Linked DNA regions of Arabidopsis thaliana. The protein of the gene in region 2 purifies or fractionates together with the protein of the main gene of each other region. This does not show direct contact. Each region holds a gene or a part of one and is shown on either strand. Other genes may lie near its edges.

What was found. The genes of interacting proteins can lie anywhere in the genome.
Region 1: the proteins of TOP1ALPHA (region 2) and AT4G26630 purify together in Arabidopsis thaliana (affinity purification with western blotting; one study listed by BioGRID). This does not show direct contact.

The regions. Positions count from the first base shown.
Region 1 is NC_003075.7:13,429,282-13,438,902, forward strand, and holds AT4G26630 (DEK domain-containing chromatin associated protein), read right to left. Parts: upstream 6,490-9,621; 5' UTR 6,371-6,489; exon of another isoform or gene 6,315-6,370; intron 5,645-6,314; 5' UTR 5,597-5,644; coding exon 4,562-5,596; intron 4,487-4,561; coding exon 4,453-4,486; intron 4,022-4,452; coding exon 3,939-4,021; intron 3,769-3,938; coding exon 3,709-3,768; intron 3,630-3,708; coding exon 3,519-3,629; intron 3,320-3,518; coding exon 3,227-3,319; intron 3,145-3,226; coding exon 3,061-3,144; intron 2,887-3,060; coding exon 2,388-2,886; intron 2,192-2,387; coding exon 2,100-2,191; intron 1,880-2,099; coding exon 1,849-1,879; intron 1,762-1,848; coding exon 1,592-1,761; 3' UTR 1,124-1,591; downstream 1-1,123. Other genes in the region: AT4G26620 (Sucrase/ferredoxin-like family protein), read right to left, coding at 219-596; WRKY20 (WRKY family transcription factor family protein), read right to left, coding at 8,017-8,488, 8,753-8,908, 8,993-9,149, 9,240-9,621. UniProt on the Arabidopsis thaliana protein: Chromatin-associated protein which contributes to the modulation of chromatin structure (such as super-helical structure of DNA) and function.
Region 2 is NC_003076.8:22,424,077-22,433,572, forward strand, and holds TOP1ALPHA (DNA topoisomerase I alpha), read right to left. Parts: upstream 5,427-9,496; 5' UTR 5,315-5,426; intron 5,009-5,314; 5' UTR 4,970-5,008; coding exon 3,749-4,969; intron 3,594-3,748; coding exon 3,399-3,593; intron 3,277-3,398; coding exon 3,196-3,276; intron 3,125-3,195; coding exon 3,065-3,124; intron 2,936-3,064; coding exon 2,841-2,935; intron 2,754-2,840; coding exon 2,597-2,753; intron 2,516-2,596; coding exon 2,390-2,515; intron 2,265-2,389; coding exon 2,184-2,264; intron 2,083-2,183; coding exon 1,992-2,082; intron 1,904-1,991; coding exon 1,770-1,903; intron 1,631-1,769; coding exon 1,562-1,630; intron 1,473-1,561; coding exon 1,383-1,472; intron 1,277-1,382; coding exon 1,173-1,276; intron 1,090-1,172; coding exon 921-1,089; intron 839-920; coding exon 783-838; coding exon of another isoform or gene 761-782; exon of another isoform or gene 698-760; coding exon 625-697; 3' UTR 501-624; downstream 1-500. Other genes in the region: AT5G55290 (ATPase, V0 complex, subunit E), read right to left, coding at 1-10; TOP1BETA (DNA topoisomerase 1 beta), read right to left, coding at 6,313-6,399, 6,474-6,642, 6,724-6,827, 6,913-7,002, 7,072-7,140, 7,218-7,351, 7,439-7,529, 7,676-7,756 and 7 more. UniProt on the Arabidopsis thaliana protein: Releases the supercoiling and torsional tension of DNA introduced during the DNA replication and transcription by transiently cleaving and rejoining one strand of the DNA duplex.

The sequences.
Region 1 (9,621 bases), on a different chromosome or scaffold from region 2:
GGCAAGAGTTTTTATGACTCATTACGACCTTAAACAGATACTTTAAGTAAGCCAAAACAAGTGAACGCAAATGCTTTTTGCTTATTTGGGAGACTTATTGGAAACAATCAGACCTAGATTTATGAGAATCAAGCAATATACTTGGAAACAGGAGATGCAAGTTAACAGCGAACAAGCTGAATCAATGGAATCAGAAAATAGTAGAGTAAAAAGCTGACCTCCTTCTTCATGCTACCCTTTCTGGCCGATACAGCAGCAGAGAGTAGCCTAGGCAATCGATCGAACTCAGCAGCCTCGATCCTTGCGGGCCAAACAGATGGCTTTTTGTAGCACAAGAAGACATGCCTCTCGTAAAACTGTACGGTTCCAGCTAGTTGTTCCGATCGGAAATCAGGACGAGCGAATCCAAAATCAGCGTCGTTGATGCTTTCTCCACCGCCTCCACCGAGTAAGCTCTCGCTTTGAAAACTACCGGAGCGAGAAGTGGGTTCGCCGAGAAAGTTGTCGAGATAGTCAGATACAGTGACTGGAGACGACGCCGTAGATGGATTGCTGGTGAAGGATAAAGGGTCGTCTCTATCTCTTCCACTTCCCATTTAAAAATTCGACCACAAGTTTGAAACTTTACAGATCGAAACTGAAACTACGGAGACGAAGAAGAAGTGAAAGTTTCTCAGTGATTCTTCTACTGAGAGAGGTCTGTCAAGTATATTCCGTTACTCTTATTCCGGTTTACTCCTTAATCGATATTCTATTTTGCAATCGGACCGGTACTTTTGCCTTTGTGTGTGTGACAGGTCTTTTCGAATCTAGTACATCAAATAAGATAATAGTAGCTGCAGCCAGAATGATAAAAGCCTGGACAAGTGTTGCTTATGCTTATAGTTAACCATGTTTAGCCATCTGCTTTGAATTCTATGTATTTGCAGTGTCTCCATTGCAATCTATTTAGGTACTCTGAATGTAACAACAGCAATTACATTCTTTTGGAACTTGTGTTTGGGTTGTCCGAAAAGGGGATGTAGAAGAAGAGCACAGATTCTTTTCTGTATATTTTGGTCCTGTAAGAATACAGACTCTCTTCTTCATCAATGTTAATCTTTGTTGTATATGTTTATGAGGTACCAATTCCTACATTTCTTAGACTGGATTTGCGTTGGTAGATTTGCAGATATGTTAGAGATAGATCAAGGATACAAGATGAGCATAAATTCCTTCTGCAATATTCAAAGTCTTAAAGGGAATCAAGAGAAACATATTATTCATTTATTACCATTGGCCTCCTTCAAACCAAAAGACATAAACAAAAGAAACCTTGACAATGTCTCGAAAAGGGAGCCTCACAAATCAAAGACAATCCAAGGAGGCTTTTATGTTAAATGCTATAGACATACAAGCAACCTATCCTTTGGCTATGCAGCTTCTTCCTCTTGTCTCTACCAAAAGTAAAGCTGCTTTACGCAGTTCAGACTCCAACAACAAAATATTACATCCACAGATTTAACTTACACATTTGCCAGATGACTACTAGGCATTAGGCAACAGTATCTGACAGAGAGACTCAATATGTGCGATGTGATCAGAAAGGAGTTTAGGCTTTCACCTCCTCACCACCACCAGACCCTCCTGCTTCCTCCTTCTCTGAATCCTCTTCTTTCTTTTCCTCCTCCTCCTCCTCATCTGCTAATTTGGTGAGCTCCTCTTGGATTATCATCTTTATAGATGACTTTCTTGGAGTGAGATCTTCTGTGAACTCCTTAGCTGAAAGATGGATGAAACAATGTGTTTATTTTATATATAACCAGGAATCACTGGAAAAACAAATGACTGAAACCAATCTGTTCATACCAAGTTCTTTAAGGATGTCCGTGAACGTAGCCTGCAGAAGAACAACAATGCTCTTATTAGGTTATCTAGGTATAGAAGGAAATTCACAGTTTGAATAGATATTGCACAACAAACTTCAAATCAGCTTTCAGAAAACGAAGGTTATTTCATGTAACCAATAAGTTTGTTCGGCAGAATCCAATTTTGTTTTATTCCACACACATCCCAAGTAGTTAAGTGTATCGCATATAAAAGGTTGAGAAATTACTCACCGTACTAAAGTCCACTCTTTTCAAGATCTCAACGATTGCATTTTTCAGCACTTTATCACTCGGCTTGTCTTTCCCTTTTCCAGCCCTTTTTACTTTTAGCATATAGACACAAACAGAGATAAACATGGTGTCAGAAAACATTAGTGGTTGTATATTGGTTCGCTTCTGAAAATGAAGATATAAGGAATAAGATTCTCCAATGCATCTGACATACACTACACCCAACATGTTTTTATTCTACCTAAGCGACCATCTTACTGGAAGAAAAAAACAGGATAATGACCAAACCTGGCTTCTCTTTTGATGCAGACTTTGAAGGAGCCGGGGAGGCCTTGATAGGGTTTTCAGACTTCTTCCTCTTAGAGGACGCCTTTGGACTTGTATCACTGTCATCATCAGTCTTCTTTCGTTTGGCTGATGACCGCTTCTGTGTAATCTTCTCTGGTGGACTGGATTTTGCAGCGACCACTGCTTTCTTGTTTCTGGCTCTCCCTGCTGATTCTTTCTTCCCAGCTGACAATCTAGAACCACGTTTCTTCTTTGTAGTTTCTTCTTCAGAATGCTCCTCAGATTCATCTTTCTCCTCGCTTTCAGAAGGCTGAGGCGCCTCATCCTCAGATTTATCAGGAATGCCATTTTCATTCTCCTCCTCTTTTTTCTCTTCTTTCTCTTCTGCCTTCTCCTCCTCTTGTTTTTCTTCTTCTTCTTTCTCTTCTTCAGATTCATCATCAGAATGAGCTAAACTCTTTTTGACAACTTTTGTTGCTTCTTCAGACTTTTTTTGGCTCTGCAAAGGAAGTGCAGAATAATATAATCAGATTAAAATACTTAGCCAGAAACATTGACGGGTTGACCAGTGATGGACAGTTGCAAATAAGCTACATTGAGATTACACGTTCTTTTCAGAGTTAATAACAAGATTAATGAACAAGCAAGCCCTCAGCTCTAAGCTATGCATTACCTTTGCTGATCGTTTGGAGGATGAACTCCCAGCTGTAGGTGAAGTTTTCTTGGGAGTTCTCTTGCGTTTTGCTCCCTTACTTGACTGTTTCAACAGAATGTTTTTAAAGAATGTAAGATGCACAATAGTTATTAAAGCAAACAAAACTTTCCCAACACCACATTACCTTCTCTTTCTCAGAAACTGTAGTGTCACCGGTCACATCACCTGTCACATGAGGTTTCTCCAAAAACTCAAACAGTTTTGTAATAATATCTTCCTGTGTTGAAAAAGCATGCAACAAGAAGTTGCCAGATTCGATTAAATGGGGAAATGAATAAGCATAAACTTGGACAACCAGAAATGGCTAATCAAGCTGCTCAACAAAGACAGAAATTTAAACCTTCACATGTATCTATTCACAGAGGAAAAAAATGAATCTCAAGAACAAAAACTTAGAAATTGATAACCATAATGACCTTCTTTGTTGTAGCCTTGGTAATGTGTATGTCCAACACATCACAAAACTCCCACAGTTTCTCTTTGGTGCATTTCTCAAGCTTTTCTTTTACTTTTTCTTTTGCTTTCTTCTGCAAATACCAAAGAGCCACAATTATATACAAAGCAAAGGCATATGTAAAAGCATTCATTATGTGTAATGTTGCACACCTCATCTCCATGCCAAACGAAACCAGAGAAGCCCAATATGTTTGTCTTGATCTGAGCAGCCTGTTAAAGCAAGAAGAATAAGATACATACAAACATGATTAGCAGACTTGCTACAGCACATGAGTCCATACCACTGGTCTCAAACTACAAGAGTATGCCCATGATTGACAATTTTAGAAGTATGACTATTGGAGCAGCATAATGTCAAAAGGATCCAAAGAGACGCTCACCTTCCCTCTCCTCCCACCAAATAGAATTGGGTGAAGCAGCTTCAAAGTTTCATCAGACCTCTTCCTCATTACCTTGTTAGCAACTACAGAGAAGAAACATTCAAGTTATCTACTTCATTTCAACTTCAAACAAAAATAAAAAGATGAAAAAATGGAACAATAAAGGTATTTTTTAGGTAGGTCGCGATTATTAGATTTTGGTTTACAAGAAATCTTGCTTCTGAGCCGGCTGGAATTGATCAATGCCAAGAAAAAAAATTCAAATGAAGATTCACATAACCAGAACCGAAAAGTGTATAGATCAAAGAATCCACCCATAGTATACATGCAATTTAACAACTAGTAGTATCCAGCACATAGAATTCTCGTAACAAAAGAACGTTTAGGCTACGCACACTTGAAGATAATAAGGGGCTCAAACTGTAAACTTGGAAAGCTAACACAAAAGACTTTTCAGCACAAGGATAATTCGAGATAGATGCTTGAAGGACAGATAGATAGAATATGAACATACCATTGGGAATATCTTTGAGATATGCACCTCGCCCCTGTAATATCCAAAGGATTATTATAAACATATCTAGCAATAAAGTTCTACTCAGCTCAGGAAAGTTTTGGCAAACCTTTTCAACACGGAATTCTTTCGAGGAGTCTTTATCAATCAATGCAACAAGCCTCTCAACAGATTTCCGCTCACGCACAGGGCGATCAGAGAAAGGAGTCCTAGGCTCTGCATCCTTTTTTACTTCCTCGGTTTTATTCTTCTCGCGAACCTTTCCTCCAGAACTCGTCCCTTTCCCACGCTTTTTAGAACCCTTGCTCTCTTCTTTTTCATCTTCTTTATCATCATTTGTCTCCTCTTTCTCATCTTCCTTTGCATCTTTGCTCTCCACTTTTTCATTGTCGTTCTCATCCTCACTCCCTTCTTTTTCATCTTCTACCTTTGACTCATCCACCTCAGCCTTTGCCGCCTCAACTTCCTTTGTTTTATTTTCTTCCTTATCTTCCTTTTCTTTTCCTTCAACATTCTCCACTTGTTTATTTTCATCCCCATTCTCCACTTTTTCATCCATATCTGTCCCTTTGTCTTCATCTACCAGTGTCCCTTCCTCTTTGATGTCTCCTGTATTGCCATCTTTTGTTCCATTTGCTTTGTCAGCTTCATGTTGTATGTCCTCCTTCCCAGCTTTTTTGTGGTCTGCCTCAGTAATATCTGTCTCTTTGGTCTCTTTTTCATCATCTTTGGCATAGTTATTGTCTTTAGATTCCACGTTTTCCTTCATTACAGTATCTTCCACTGAAACACCATCATCAGTTTGCTCTTTCTTTCCATCGGCATCTTCATCCATGTTGGTAGCCTCTGCTTGTCCCTCATCTTTGGTGACCTCAACCTTCTCTTCCATTTTTTGAGTCTCAGCATTGTCTTCATTTTTCTTAACCTCTGACTCTTTATCTTCCGTCTCAGCTTTTTCATCATCTTTCTTAATCTGAGCATCTATCTCCATATTGTCTGGCTCAGCCATATCCTCATCTTTCGCCAGTTCTTGTGTTTCCTTACCCCCAGCATTCTCCTTTCCAGCCATAGCCTCTGATGGCTTTTCAAGAGAAGTAGTCTTGTTTGCGGTTGGCTCAATGGTTGCCTTTGTATCTTCCCCCATATTACAAACCAGTTCAGTAGATCCTTCCACCAAAAACACTTCTTGTGGCTGTGAATGAGAAATCAGTTCAGAGGATTAATATTGCTACGATAGCAGAAATTAATGCTCTCTATAAAGAAATTGAACAACTTGACATAAAGAACATGTAAAACGCATTGAATTCACACTTAGCATATATGCGAAAAAAAACTAATTCCAGGAAAACAACATCTAAAACTTGGCTAGTCAACAATAAGACAAATCTAATTTAGATCTCATTATTGATCCATAATTATCACTTAATCCCACTTTAGATCTGCAGAAGAAGAACTAAATGGAAATTTCGCGTAAGTCACTAAGAAACCAAAATCTCGAAGGTTCATCATTTATCCTCGCTTCTTATACATTCAGTAGAACAAAGATCCAGATGGACAAATGAAACCAAAAAACACCCTTTCATTCAGACAAATCTCCAGAGCTTACACCACACAGATTCAGACAAAACACAAACCCATCTTGAATCTCTCGAAATCAAGTCAATCAACGTCAAATTCATGCATTTTGTCAACAACTTAATAGCATCAGATATCAAAAAGACAATAAATAATCAAAACATCGAAATTCACAAATAAAAGAAGCGCATGAGAAACCCTAACTTCTCATCGCAACTTTAAACAAACACAAAGAAGAACCAAAAGAACATGCGAATTCAAACAAAGCTCAAAACATAAAAGCTCACAAAGATTTAAGCAGAGTATCCACAGGGTTCTAAAGCAGAAGACTTCGGAATCTCACCTCAGAGTATCACAAGACTCGGCACTGAGTTTTTTTTCTCCTCTAACTACTTTTTTTCTTACAAAACAGAACAAATAGCTTTTGTTTTTCTTTTTGATAGCGTTTTTTAGGAGAGAGAAATTCAAGGATTCGGACGCAAAGCCAGATTTTAAATACAATTTAATGCCACGTCAGGCTTAGGATGAATCATTACCGTCCGATTTCATTGCTGTAATAGAGTTCATCAACGGTTCAGATTTTATGTTTGATGCATCTCGTGGATCGATGACGCTATAAACTACCCTAACGTCCGGTTCCGAACCAGGTACCGAGCCTAGACTTTATATTTCAAGGATTTTATATTAGGTTTTTGGACAAAAAAAGTTAACATATTCAATGTTTGTGACCTATAGAAAAATATATTTTTTTAACTACAAATTTAATTTGGTAATTTTTCAATGATATGATAGTTTTGTAAATAAATTATCTATAAAATTACTATATAACAGATAAAAATAAAATTGATACGTAATAATTGCTATATCGGTTTAATATTAATGAAATTGTTTTACTTCTTTATGATAAGGAAGCTAAGTTTATGTGATTGAACAAATGATTAAAACAAACTCTTTCTTAAAATGTACTTCTTTTTAAAGAAATTTAACGAATTCGTTGAATGTTCAATTATAATTGATTTAAACAACGCTATATTAGGTAAAATGATCTAATTGAATAGAATTGTATAAGTGACTTTAACAAATTTTGTTATTTTATATTTAAATATTTTTTATGATGGATTCGATCCGCTACCATAAATAGCGTTGTCAATTTTTGCAAAAAAATTAACATGATAATCCGATTTTTACCTTTCCGCAAAAGATGAAAATGATTCACTGGTCCGGTGAAAAAAACAAGACTATTTTGACGACGATGATTATAAATGACTTATAATGTCATTAGTTTGATAGCGACAAAATTTTTATTTGCTTAACGGGTACTATGATCTAAAAGAATCTAATATGTTTGTCTTTAACAACAGTAAATGCTTCGGAAAAAAAAAAGTTCTAAATATGAAATTAGAGATTGTAACTTCCACCAAATAATCTAGATACATGTAAGAGAGAATAAGGTTACTGTTTTAATTGCCAATCTACTTCTTGCACAAATCTCTTAATTTTGTATAGAGACTGTATAGTATAACCTTCCAAATAATTGAACAAAGTTTAATATTGTCCCATGGTAAATCACCTAGTCGAAGTATTTATATCTCATTATTATGAGTTTTTGACAAATCTAGAAGTCTAGAACTAAAAGTTGAGAAACTATTATTGAAAAACGGGCAACAGTTGTAATTGTCTGCTTAAGGACCACGTAGCTTAAGTACCGTCGTGGTGTTTCTTTCATGGAGCATATCTAATTACGGTGAAGAAGAAATAGTTTGTAGTAATATTGCTGTTTCTTGTTTAAATAAAAGCATTAACATCTTGTTGTGTATTTTTACATAACATTTTTGGAACTCAATACAGGTGACACAAACAAATATATATGGTGGAGATAGTTTGAATCAAGATCAGCTCTCTGTGAAGAAATAGGAATTATATAGAACAAGGCCTCGTCCCATTCCTAACCTAAGAAGATCCCGTACATAATGTTGCTTACTTTTTGTTTTACGGACCCGATTGTACTCTCCCCATGTTGGGCGGATATGGGTAAGATGAATTGTTCAAGGACGAGATGTCACCATTTTGAGTCTCGTTCTTTGTTTCTCTCTGGCCGTACTGATTCATACCGCTATTTAAGCTAGCATAGTAGGATGACATGGGACTAGCATGAACAAACCTGAAATTGACTCCATTTGGGTGAGTTTGGTTGACAAGTTGTTGATTCTGGTGCTGATGTTCGTTGGAAGCGTGGTTAGGTCCATCAGATGAGATTCCAACACCAAGATTGAGGCTGATGGTGTCTGTTTCATCTGGTCTGAACCGAGGCTGGATTTCGTGATTGCTGCTAGACTTTGAAGTGGGAACATCATGATCGTGTTTGCCTTCGTATGTTGTTATTACAGCTTTTGGATCATGTGATGCTCTCTCCACGTGTTTTCTCACTGGGCATCCATGAGCTGTGCATTTGTAGTAGCTCCTACAAAAGGCCGAGGAACATCATGAAACATAATATCTCCATTGCGCACATGTTGAGTCTGTTAAGATCACTATCTTCCATATTCCAAACCAAATTCCTAAAAGAAGCAACACTTTATGCACATGTCAAATAACTAGGTCCTGAAGACAAGGACTAAACTGTTCTAGCTACCATTTTGAACTCGCAAGTTATGTTTATGTATGTTCATTCGAGAAAAAAGCAAGGAATTTTTTGGGGTGTTAAAAGCTTTAATGCTGTACAAACCTGGGATTTGGGTTCCCCCTTACGACTTTCTGCCCATATTTGCGCCATCTATAACCATCATCCAGAATGTCAACCTCACTCAGAGTTTGAACAACAACCCGAGGCTCCCGGATGGGTTTCACTAGTGGAGTTATTTCCATCGCACCCTCCATCCTCCTACATAAAGTTAAAATAAAGTTTTAATCATGTCAAATCACAGATTCAAATCAAGCACCTGAATCCTTTGTTAAACTCTAATACCTCCGTTTTGAGAATGGATCATCATCGTCCGGCTCATCTTTATTCCTATTTGACGCTGCCGCTTCTCCACCATCGTCAGATGCTGAGATAGGAGGTACTTCAGGGTTACCAGTTTGTTCATTGGGGTTAGACAAGTTGTAGACGCCAGATCCCTTCTCTGTATGCAGACATAAGAGTAGAAGGAAAAAGTTATAGATATTGCCAAGGGAGTAAGTGCATATTTGTCTCAAGTTTTAGTTATGATTACCATCTCGGCCAGTTGAAGAAGGATACTTGTCTAGCCTTTCTTCTTGTGCAGCCATACCACCAGAGTTTCGGCGACCAGGTTGAGGTTTAGGATGGTCATGTGTACCCTTGTATATAATATCGGTGATCTGCCCATCATGAGATCTTTCAAATAACTTTTTCACTTCACAATTAGGATGTGTACATTTATAATAGCTCCGGGGAAATTCACTCCCTTTGACATGCTTTTGACCATATTTTCTCCAGTTATAACCATCATCAGCCAAGATGGATGGAGTGCTTCCTCTGGAGTCATTTTGGGAAGTCTGGATTGATTCCTCTTGATCAGATCCAGCCGGAATATCTGAGCTCGTTGGTGTCATCTGACAAGGAGGAGTTGGCCG
Region 2 (9,496 bases):
GGAAACCCATGTTTGATCCTGATCTGTGAGAGAATTATCTGCGACGATAAGTATTACACGTGATTTAGGGTACAATAACCTCAACGCGATCGAACAATACGGGAGAGGAGAAAGTGTCTGAGATCTCACAGATTTGGAAATGAAAGCTCCTCTTTGGAGGAGGACGATGATGTTCTTCGTGCGAATCCGGTGAATCTGAATTTTGGATCCGTGTGAGTTTTTGAGATTTTCGTGAGGGCATAATAGGCAAAAACCGAACTTTTCTTCAAATATGAAAGTCCAAACACCCTAATTCAGATTTGTCTTAATAATCACGTTTTAAAGTTCAAAACAAGCTTTCTATATTTCATATCTATTGAATATACATACACTATGCGATGATTTTATAATAAAATTGTAAAATGTTCAAATTATCCTTCTAATCAATGATAAACGAGAAATACTTCACATTTGCAAACATTTTTTTTGCTAAAACATCTTACGACAAACAGAGGGAACAGTGTTTTTGTTCTTCTTCGGATTTTCTATTTCTTTAATCATAGTAATGTTACAAATAACATAACATTTGAGTCATAGTAATGTTAAAAAAGACACTAATGAAACAGCTTGACATGTTCATGTTTTTTACTCACTAAGGTAATAAAATTCTAAACAAGGGAGGAAGATGAATAGAAGAAAGGCCGGTTTTCTCTTTGCTCTTATCTCATTCAGCTCTTTTGCCCTCCAATACTTGCTCCATCCGAGAAGAGCTTCTCTATACCTAACGGCGCGAGAATCTGTACTCGGGTTCTACATCCATTGCCCACGCAAACTTCTCCAAAAGAGACTTGGTGAATATCTATAACAAGAAACAATTTTCTGAGTTGGTAAGAAAAAACTTGTTTCTTTTCTTCAGAAGGGACCCATCCTGAGAGTTTTACCTTTTCGATTGGTACTTCATGACGTTTGCACCATGCAACTGTGATTCTAGGATCCAGGTAGTTGATCTTAGACGTGCCCAGTGCCACTGTTTTCAAGTCCTCTTTTGTATGCATGTCTCGTTCCATTTTCTCGATCTTAGCACTCTGTTGAGCAATCTTCTTCTCCCACCTGCATTCAAAGGACGTAGATCTTCAAAACGAGATAGATATCTAGAGAAGTCTTTTGAGAAGTAAGAGGGAAAGTTATTTTACGCGTTTGGTTCTAAGCTTCTAATCTTCTTTCCATCAGAACCTTCCAATGGTGGTTTTCCCTTTTTAGCCCGGTCAAGATTAGTTTTGAGCTCTTTAAGAACCTCCTACAGATTTAGAAAAAACAAACAAACGGAAGGGCATTTTAAATGAATCCAGATGAAAAGCAGAGAACTTCAAAAAAGTTTTCAAGAGTTTATACAGGATTTGTACCTTGAGTTCTTCTATTCTCGCAGTCAATTTTTCAATTTGCGCACCATGTGTCTTTGATACAGTACGCTGATGATTGCAGATTATGGCAACCTGAAAGAGTGTGAACCAGTATTTCATGAATCTGCCACATGGTTATGTACCAAACAAGAAATCACCAGGAGGATGAACAAATCTTTTACCTCCTTATTTGCTTTCTGATAAACTACTATTTTTTGAGTAACATCGCCATCTTTGGTTTCTTGACTCAGCTGTTACACACATCAAAACGGAACAAAGTTGTGAAAAAATGTAAAGAAATATATATACTTGTAATTGGGTTTCTATGACTAAATTGTATAGCAGCATAAATCTAATGTGAAACCAGAAGATCTAAGATTTTGAACATACCATTTCATCCAAAGTGATGGAAGCATTATATGTACGGAATACTTTAGCTGTGAGACCAGGCACAAGTTCCTTCAAATGAGCATTCAGTTTACTTGTGTCTAACTCATCAAAAAGATCATCTGTTTTGGATTTTCCTGGATGGGGAAAAAAAAAAGCAAGTTATTTGAATCAGTCACAACAGTAAAATAATTTGTGATATACAATGTCAAGTCCATATCTCACCCGCCTGGAACTGTCCAATGGCCTTGTAAACAAGAGGCTCAACCTCGACTGTGTTCACATACTGGATTGAATCCTTACCAAGAAAATCAAACTAGAAAGAGGGAAATGTGTGAGATTATAAGTCTTCTGCCCAGGATTAAACACATGTTATCCACTTTGACAAGTGTAAAACTTTAAGGATGAAATTAATACCTTTATTTTATTTGGAGGAATACACTCCACATTTCCAACTTTTAAAGTACAACAACCAACAGTGTCGGCCTCATCATCATCCTACCAAATCAAAAAAAAATGAAAATATGAGATTTCTTCAGAAATTTTGTTGTTTGCGAGCCATTTATCTGTTAGAAATCATTTGCTTTTACATTAAACTTGCAATATACTAGTTCAAAAACTACCTTCTCATTTCCAGCCCTAAGCGCCAATTTATCAATGAGATATGTCGCCACAGCAATTTGCCTCATTTTAACATCCTTGGCAGTAAAATTCTTGGTGTATGTTGTTCTTATATTATCTATATGATCCTGCAGTCAAAACAAATCGATTGCTAAAAACGAGAAACAATGAAAGAGTAAGCATGATTCATAAAAATGAAAGCTGCTTACCGTAAGATTCCTAGCTTTCTCGTACTTCTCTTTGTCGCTCAGCCCTTTCAGAGAACTGCCAGCTCCCAAAAATACATACTTGAATTCTTTTGGGTTAATAGGATCAGCCCAGAAAGCTAGCCAGGTGACTGTGTTATCATGCTTTACTTCTTTCCATCTGAAAAGTCACACAGCTCCCATGGCTTAGTAAAGATCATTATATGATGCTTTTAAATTTAAGAGGAAAATCACGGAAAAACAAGACCTTTCACCAGCAATTGGACATTCTGGAATAGGAGCACCTTTCCCGATATTTAAGGTGATCTCGCATGGATGGATACGCTTCTTTAGTTTTCCCATCTGAAAGACGGACAGTAGATGGTTTTAAAAGAGATTACAGAATAGACCATGCCTCAACTGAATCCACCCAAACCCGCAACGTCAAGGTATGTTGTTTACAAAAATTAGTCTCTGGGAGACATGACTAACCTTGGGATGTTCTCCACGGCCTCTGAAAAGGCCAGGCGGTTCCACTCTGAAATTACCAATCTGAAAGATAAACAGAAGTTGAGTGAGGAACTCCCTTTTGGGGAAAATGACAACGTTATGGGAAGATTTACCTTCTCTTTGACACCATCAACAACAGCCCACATATATTTCTCCTCTTGCTTCATTTTCTCCTCTTTCAAAGCTTTTTTCTCCTGTACCACATCAATTAAACTATGATATAAGTCTCACCTTGAAAAATTTTAACAAAAAGAAAAATAGGTCTGGGACACCAATATAGTCAGCCATTACACTTAAAATTCTCTTTTTTAATTACCTCTGTGCTCATTTGTTTCTTCTTCTCTTTCTCTTCCAAATGCCACTCATATATGGGAGTAAAGTCACAATCATCCAACTTCTGTATCACATGTTTCTTGCCAAGCAGTCTTCGCCAGTCATTCCAGAAATTCTCCCGAAATTGAGGTTTAGTATAATAATCTGTCTCTCTCATCACTGCAAACATAGTCGCAACCTGTATATCATCAACATAGCATCAGCATGGATAATAATGCTTTCTTGGAATGTCATACGAAAGCACTCTAGATATTGAGATGGACGAAAAATCAATTAAGAAACGGGTATATAACATTTATCAGTAAGATTGAGGACGTGGATGGAGAGGACAACCTCTTCTTGTTCAATAGTTAGGTCAACAGGTTTCCCCTTGTACAAAATCTTAATGCCATGAGGCTTGTATGGCGGTGGAAATATTACACCGTTGTGCACCAAAGTAGTCCATTTCTTTTGCCCATCTCCAGAGGAAGGTGATGATTTTGAAGACGTGGAATATTTTGAGTCCTTCGTTACTTTCTTAGTGTTTTTGGTCATTGCTCTGGACCTAGGAGAAACGACATTTCTCGCTTTTGGCTTTGCAGCTGATGAAGTAGAATTTAGTTTTACTGCTTTTGGCTTTGCAGATGATGTGTTACTGTTGGAGGAATCTGATTTGAATCTCTTGGATATCGGAACATCATCATCATCATCATCATCAGTTCCATCTTCTCTGGTAGATAACTGTTTAGCTTTCATTTTTGGTGAAACCAAAACCCTTCCCTTATCATCTATCTCTTTCTTGACAGAATCTTGTTTCATTTTCACTGAAGTAGGTGAAGCTGATATTTTGGCCTTCTTCAAGGAAGATTGATCTGCAGAACTATTCTTCTCCAGAGGTCTCTTACCTAATACCTTACCATTCGGCACTTCATTCTTAACTGTGGAACCATTCTGATGCAACTTTTGAACCAAAGGTTTCTTTTCATCATTGGAGAGCTGGTTGCCCCCTGACATCCCACTATCAATCTTCTTCCGAAACATTGACGAGATTGGAGTTTCATCATCTGACTCGTCTTTTATAATTCTGCTTGCTCTATCAAGAGGTCGATCACCATTATTCTTTTTCTCTGGCTGCGGTGAAGAAACCTGCCGCGAAGAGGTTGGCCCTTTATTTCCAGATAGTATGGAACTTAAAGGTCTATCATCCTCAGAATCCTCATGCTCAATTTTACATTCAGACTGATCTTTCTGTAACTGGCTCCTATCCTTAACAGTAGAGGGCATATCATTCCGCAATGGTGACTTTGCTGGTGAAGCCTTAGAAGAAGATGATGGCATAGAGGATTTCACTATAGAAGTTTTATTCGAAGGAGTGGTTCCATTTGGGCTAGTCACAGGTGATCTCATAGGTGATACCTTGGTGGTAGGAACTGCCTTGCTTCTCTGGGAATTGGATTTAGATTGATTCGAATTAGAAGCCACTGTATTATTCCTCTTGAACGCTAAAGGCTTGTCATCATCACTGTCTCCAGACCCATTATCCATCACAGGTTTTGAAACTGTTTCAGTGCCCATTCCCGAAAGAACAACGTTGATGAAGGCTCAGACCAACTTCTGACCAAGACACAAAACAAACCACAAAGAAATGTCAGAGTTTCCCAAGGAAAGGCAAACAAACACCATTACAAGTTTACAACTACAAGCAACAAAATGATTACACTACAGAGAATGAAGTACTGAGATTCATAAATAGAGAATCTTAAAGCAAAGAACCAACATTTGAAGAATCCAGTGTAGTTGAAATATCAAATCCCCAATTACGTATGTGAAACCCTAATTTGTGCTATAACTGGGTAATGATGCAAATTAAGCTTAATACAATCAAATTTCAGAGATTTGACGTTGGATTGAAGAAGCTACCTTCTTCCAGAGATTGAAGAAATTGTCTAGCGAAGCCTATCTCTCTCCTCCGTCTCTCTGTTCTCTCTTCTCTTCTGCTTCGATGGTTTCTATCGTTTTAAGGACGAGGAGACTAAGGCATAAGGAGACTCTCTTTAGATTAGAGAGTTCACCCCTTGAGGGTTTTGTTTTCGTTACGACGTCGTATTGAGTCGCGCCAAATCGTTTAATCTTACCGCCATAGACAATTTTTTTCACTCTTATTACCGTAAACTTTTTAATTGCCAAAATCCCCTTAATTTTTGGGTTTAAGATGAAAAAATTGATTAAACATTGACTCATCGGTTAATTTACTAAATTGTGAAGCATATTTAAGTAAATAAAATAGGGGATAAAATCAGAAATAAAAAGAAATCCAATTTTTTATCCGATAAAATTATGTATCATCAAATAATTTAACGTTTGGATGCTCTTAAGATTTTTTATCAGAAAAATTTACGTGTCGATAGATAATTTAGCATTTGGATATCCACATTCTTATGGGATAAAATTACGTATCAACGGATAATTTAGCATTTAGATACTATTTAGATATACGAAACAATGTGTCATCAAAACTTTTAACCATTTGAAAGTTAATTTGTAAATTATTAAAGTTATTTCAAGTACTAAAAAAGGTTAAAATGAATTTTGTCACAAAAAAAACTTAAAAATTTTCATTACTTAATGCATAAACTTATTAATCATCCATAGTATATAGATTAAAGAAAGGTACTACCATTTTATGTATAATTCTTAATATTATTAACCTGAATTATTTATTTATTGGAGTAAAAAATTGTAACTGTTTTTCTATAAAACATCCATAGATTAGTCTTTGGTTTACTAATAAGAGAGAAGAAACCTCTTTTACAGGGTCTTGCTATCATTCTTCTTCTCTTTTTAACTCTTTCTCTCTATATCTCTGTAAATGTATGGTGAATGGTAGTTAGGTGAAACTGGCCTCAACGAACATGTATTTATTCATCGGTACTTGAACAGAATCTGAACTCAGGATCAACATCCATTGCCCAAGCGAACTTAGCCAGAAGAGACTTGTTAAATATCTGCAATAGCAAAACACAAGTAAATTTCAAGTGTTTGCAATTCTGTTACTTTGTTGAAGCTCTTTACATATTACCTTCTCAATGGGGACATCATGTCGTTTGCACCACGCAACAGTGATCCTAGGATCCATGTAGTTGATCTTAGATGTGCCCAATGCGACAGTTTTCATATCTTCTTTTGTTTGCATATCTCTTTCCATCTTCTCGATCTTACCTTGCGTTTGCATTATCTTCTTCTCCAATCTGTTTTTCCAAAGAGGGAGTTGTTTTAAAGGAGATGCTTATGCGATAAATAATGTATATGAAGAGAGGTTTAGATATTACGCTTCAGGTGTTAAGTTCCTCTTTCTCTTTCCATCAGATCCCATTAACGGTGTTCTTCCTTTCTTAGCCCTGTCGAGATCAATATTCAGCTCTTTTATTTGCTCCTGCAGAGAAGTACAAAGATTATGGGAGTGAGAAAGTTGAAATTGTATCTTGATCATATTTAACTAGGATTTGCTTATGTTATACCCTTAGTTCTTCTATTTTCACAGCCAGCTTCTCCACTTGTGCTCCGTGAGATTTCGAGACAGTACGTTGATGGTTACAAATGATAGCAACCTAACAAAAAAGAATAAGATGATCATATTCTCTTATCTGTAAAATAGCAGAGAGAATAATTGTCATTACCTCCTTGTTCGCTTGCTGATAAACCACCACTTTTTCAGGAACGTCACCGTCTCTGGTTTCTTTACTCAACTGTCATAACATCATCCAAAACGGCTTAAGAAACCTATATCATTAGGATTGTGACAACTGAGTAATAGAAAACATACCATTAAATCCAATGTGATGGATGCATTATACGTACGGAATACTTTGGCTGTGAGACCAGCCATAAGCTCCTTAAGATGAGTATTGAGTTTTGAAGTATCTAGCTCATCAAAGAGATCATCGGTTTTCGATTTTCCTGGATAGAAGACGAAACCAAAAGTCATTTATCCAGTTTCCAAAGGTCAATTATAAGATTAGATAGCCTACATAATTATTAACTAACCTGCTTGGAACTGCCCAATTGCCTTATACACCAGAGGCTCAACCTCAACTGTGTTTACATACTGAATAGAGTCTTTACCAAGGAAGTCAAACTGAAAATGCCAAAGCGAATACCATAAGTCACTATAATATGCAATAAAAAATAACCTTCTTCAACAAATCAATAAGCCAGGCATTTTAGTACTCTCGCAGATACATTCTGCAGTCAATTTTGTTTAGGTTGAGATCAAGTGTATACCTTTAACTTATTTGGAGGAATACACTCCACGTTTCCTACTTTCAATGTACAACAACCAACAGTATCTGCCTCATCGTCATCCTATACAATAAAAATAAGAAAGGAAAATGTGAGAGAATTGCTTGAAATTCCAGAAACATGTTCTATTATGAGTAAGAAGCGGGTCTTATGGAGTAATGATCTCTTATAAGCCAAAACCAATGAGAAAATGAATAGAACGAAGGATCTCTTTAATTAAAGAAGAATCTTTGTTAACTTACCTTCTCATTTCCAGCCCTAAGGGCTAGCTTATCGATGAGATATGTTGCCACTGCTATTTGCCGCTTTGTTACATCCTTGTTATTAAAATCTTTGGTGTATGCTGCTCTAATACTCCCTATATGGTTCTGCAAACAGATGGTATGTTGCTAGGTAAGAAATGGGAAAGCAGGATGGTTTCCAGAAAAGCTTTAAACGGCATCAAAAGCTCATTACATGTAGCTTCCTCGCTTTCTCATACTTCTCTTTGTCGCTTTGTCCCTTCAACGAACTGCTAGCTGCCAAGAATACATACTTGAACTCTTTTGGATTGATAGGATCACTCCAAAAAGCAAGCCAGGTAACAGTATTGTCATGCTTAACTTCTTTCCATCTGAAAAAGAACAGCACTCTTAGAATCAGGTCATAGGAAAAAACAAAACATGTGTCTTTTTCAAAGGGAAGCATATAAAAACAAGACCTTTCACCAGGGATAGGGCATTCTGGAATAGGCGCCTCTTTACCAATGTTGATTGTAATATCACAAGGACGAATCCGCTTTTTCAGTTTCCCCATCTTGAACATAATGACGCAGAAGAGAAAATTACTAAAATGAGAAATAACTATGGAAGATGGGGGAACAAAGAAGAAAAATGTTGTAAATATGATACTACAGCATACACAGAATAATATAGTTTAAGGATAATGTAAGAAACTGCAGCAAAAATAAACCTTGGGATGTTCTCCCCGGCCTCGAAACAACCCAGGGGGCTCAACTCTGAAATTTCCAATCTGGAATTGTTGCAAAATATGGTTAGCAAATTTTAAGAAGCTGGAAATAGATTTCTATCAACAACAAAAAAAGAAATTACCCTCTCCCTGACACCATCAAGAACAGCCCACATATATTTCTCCTCCTGCTTTAATTTCTCCTCTTTCACAATCCTTTTCTCCTGTACATCGTTAGCATTATAACATTATCAGCAACAGCTTCATGAGAAGAGCGTACTCATGGACTTTATCTTATAGAAACTGTTATTTACTTCTGCAGTCATTTGTTTCTTTGTCTCCTTCTCCTGCATATACCATTCATATATGGGAGTGAAGTCACAATCATCTAAACTTTTAATCATATGGTTCTTTCCAAGTAGTTTCCGCCAATCATTCCAGAAATTCTCTCTGAACTTTGGTTTTTTATAATATTCTGTTTCCCTCATCACCGCAAACATAGTTGCAACCTGCAGATAGAAATGACGATATTATCAGCTCACCACTCATGACTAGAGAAAGGATGCAAAAACACTCTGGGAAATGAGATGAAAGTAACGGCTGCAGAAAGTAAGCGAATATACAATCATGGGACAGAGACGCAGAAAAAATGACGGACCTCTTCTTGTTCAGGAGTTAAGTCAACAGGCTTTCCCTGGAACAATATCTTAACCCCATGACGCTTATATGGAGGTGGAAAAATAACACCATTGTGCTGTAGAGTTTTCCATTTCTTTTGCCCATCTCCAGAAGGTAATGATTTAGAAGATTTCGAATATTTAGAATCTTTCACCCATTTGTTGGGCTTTTGAGCTA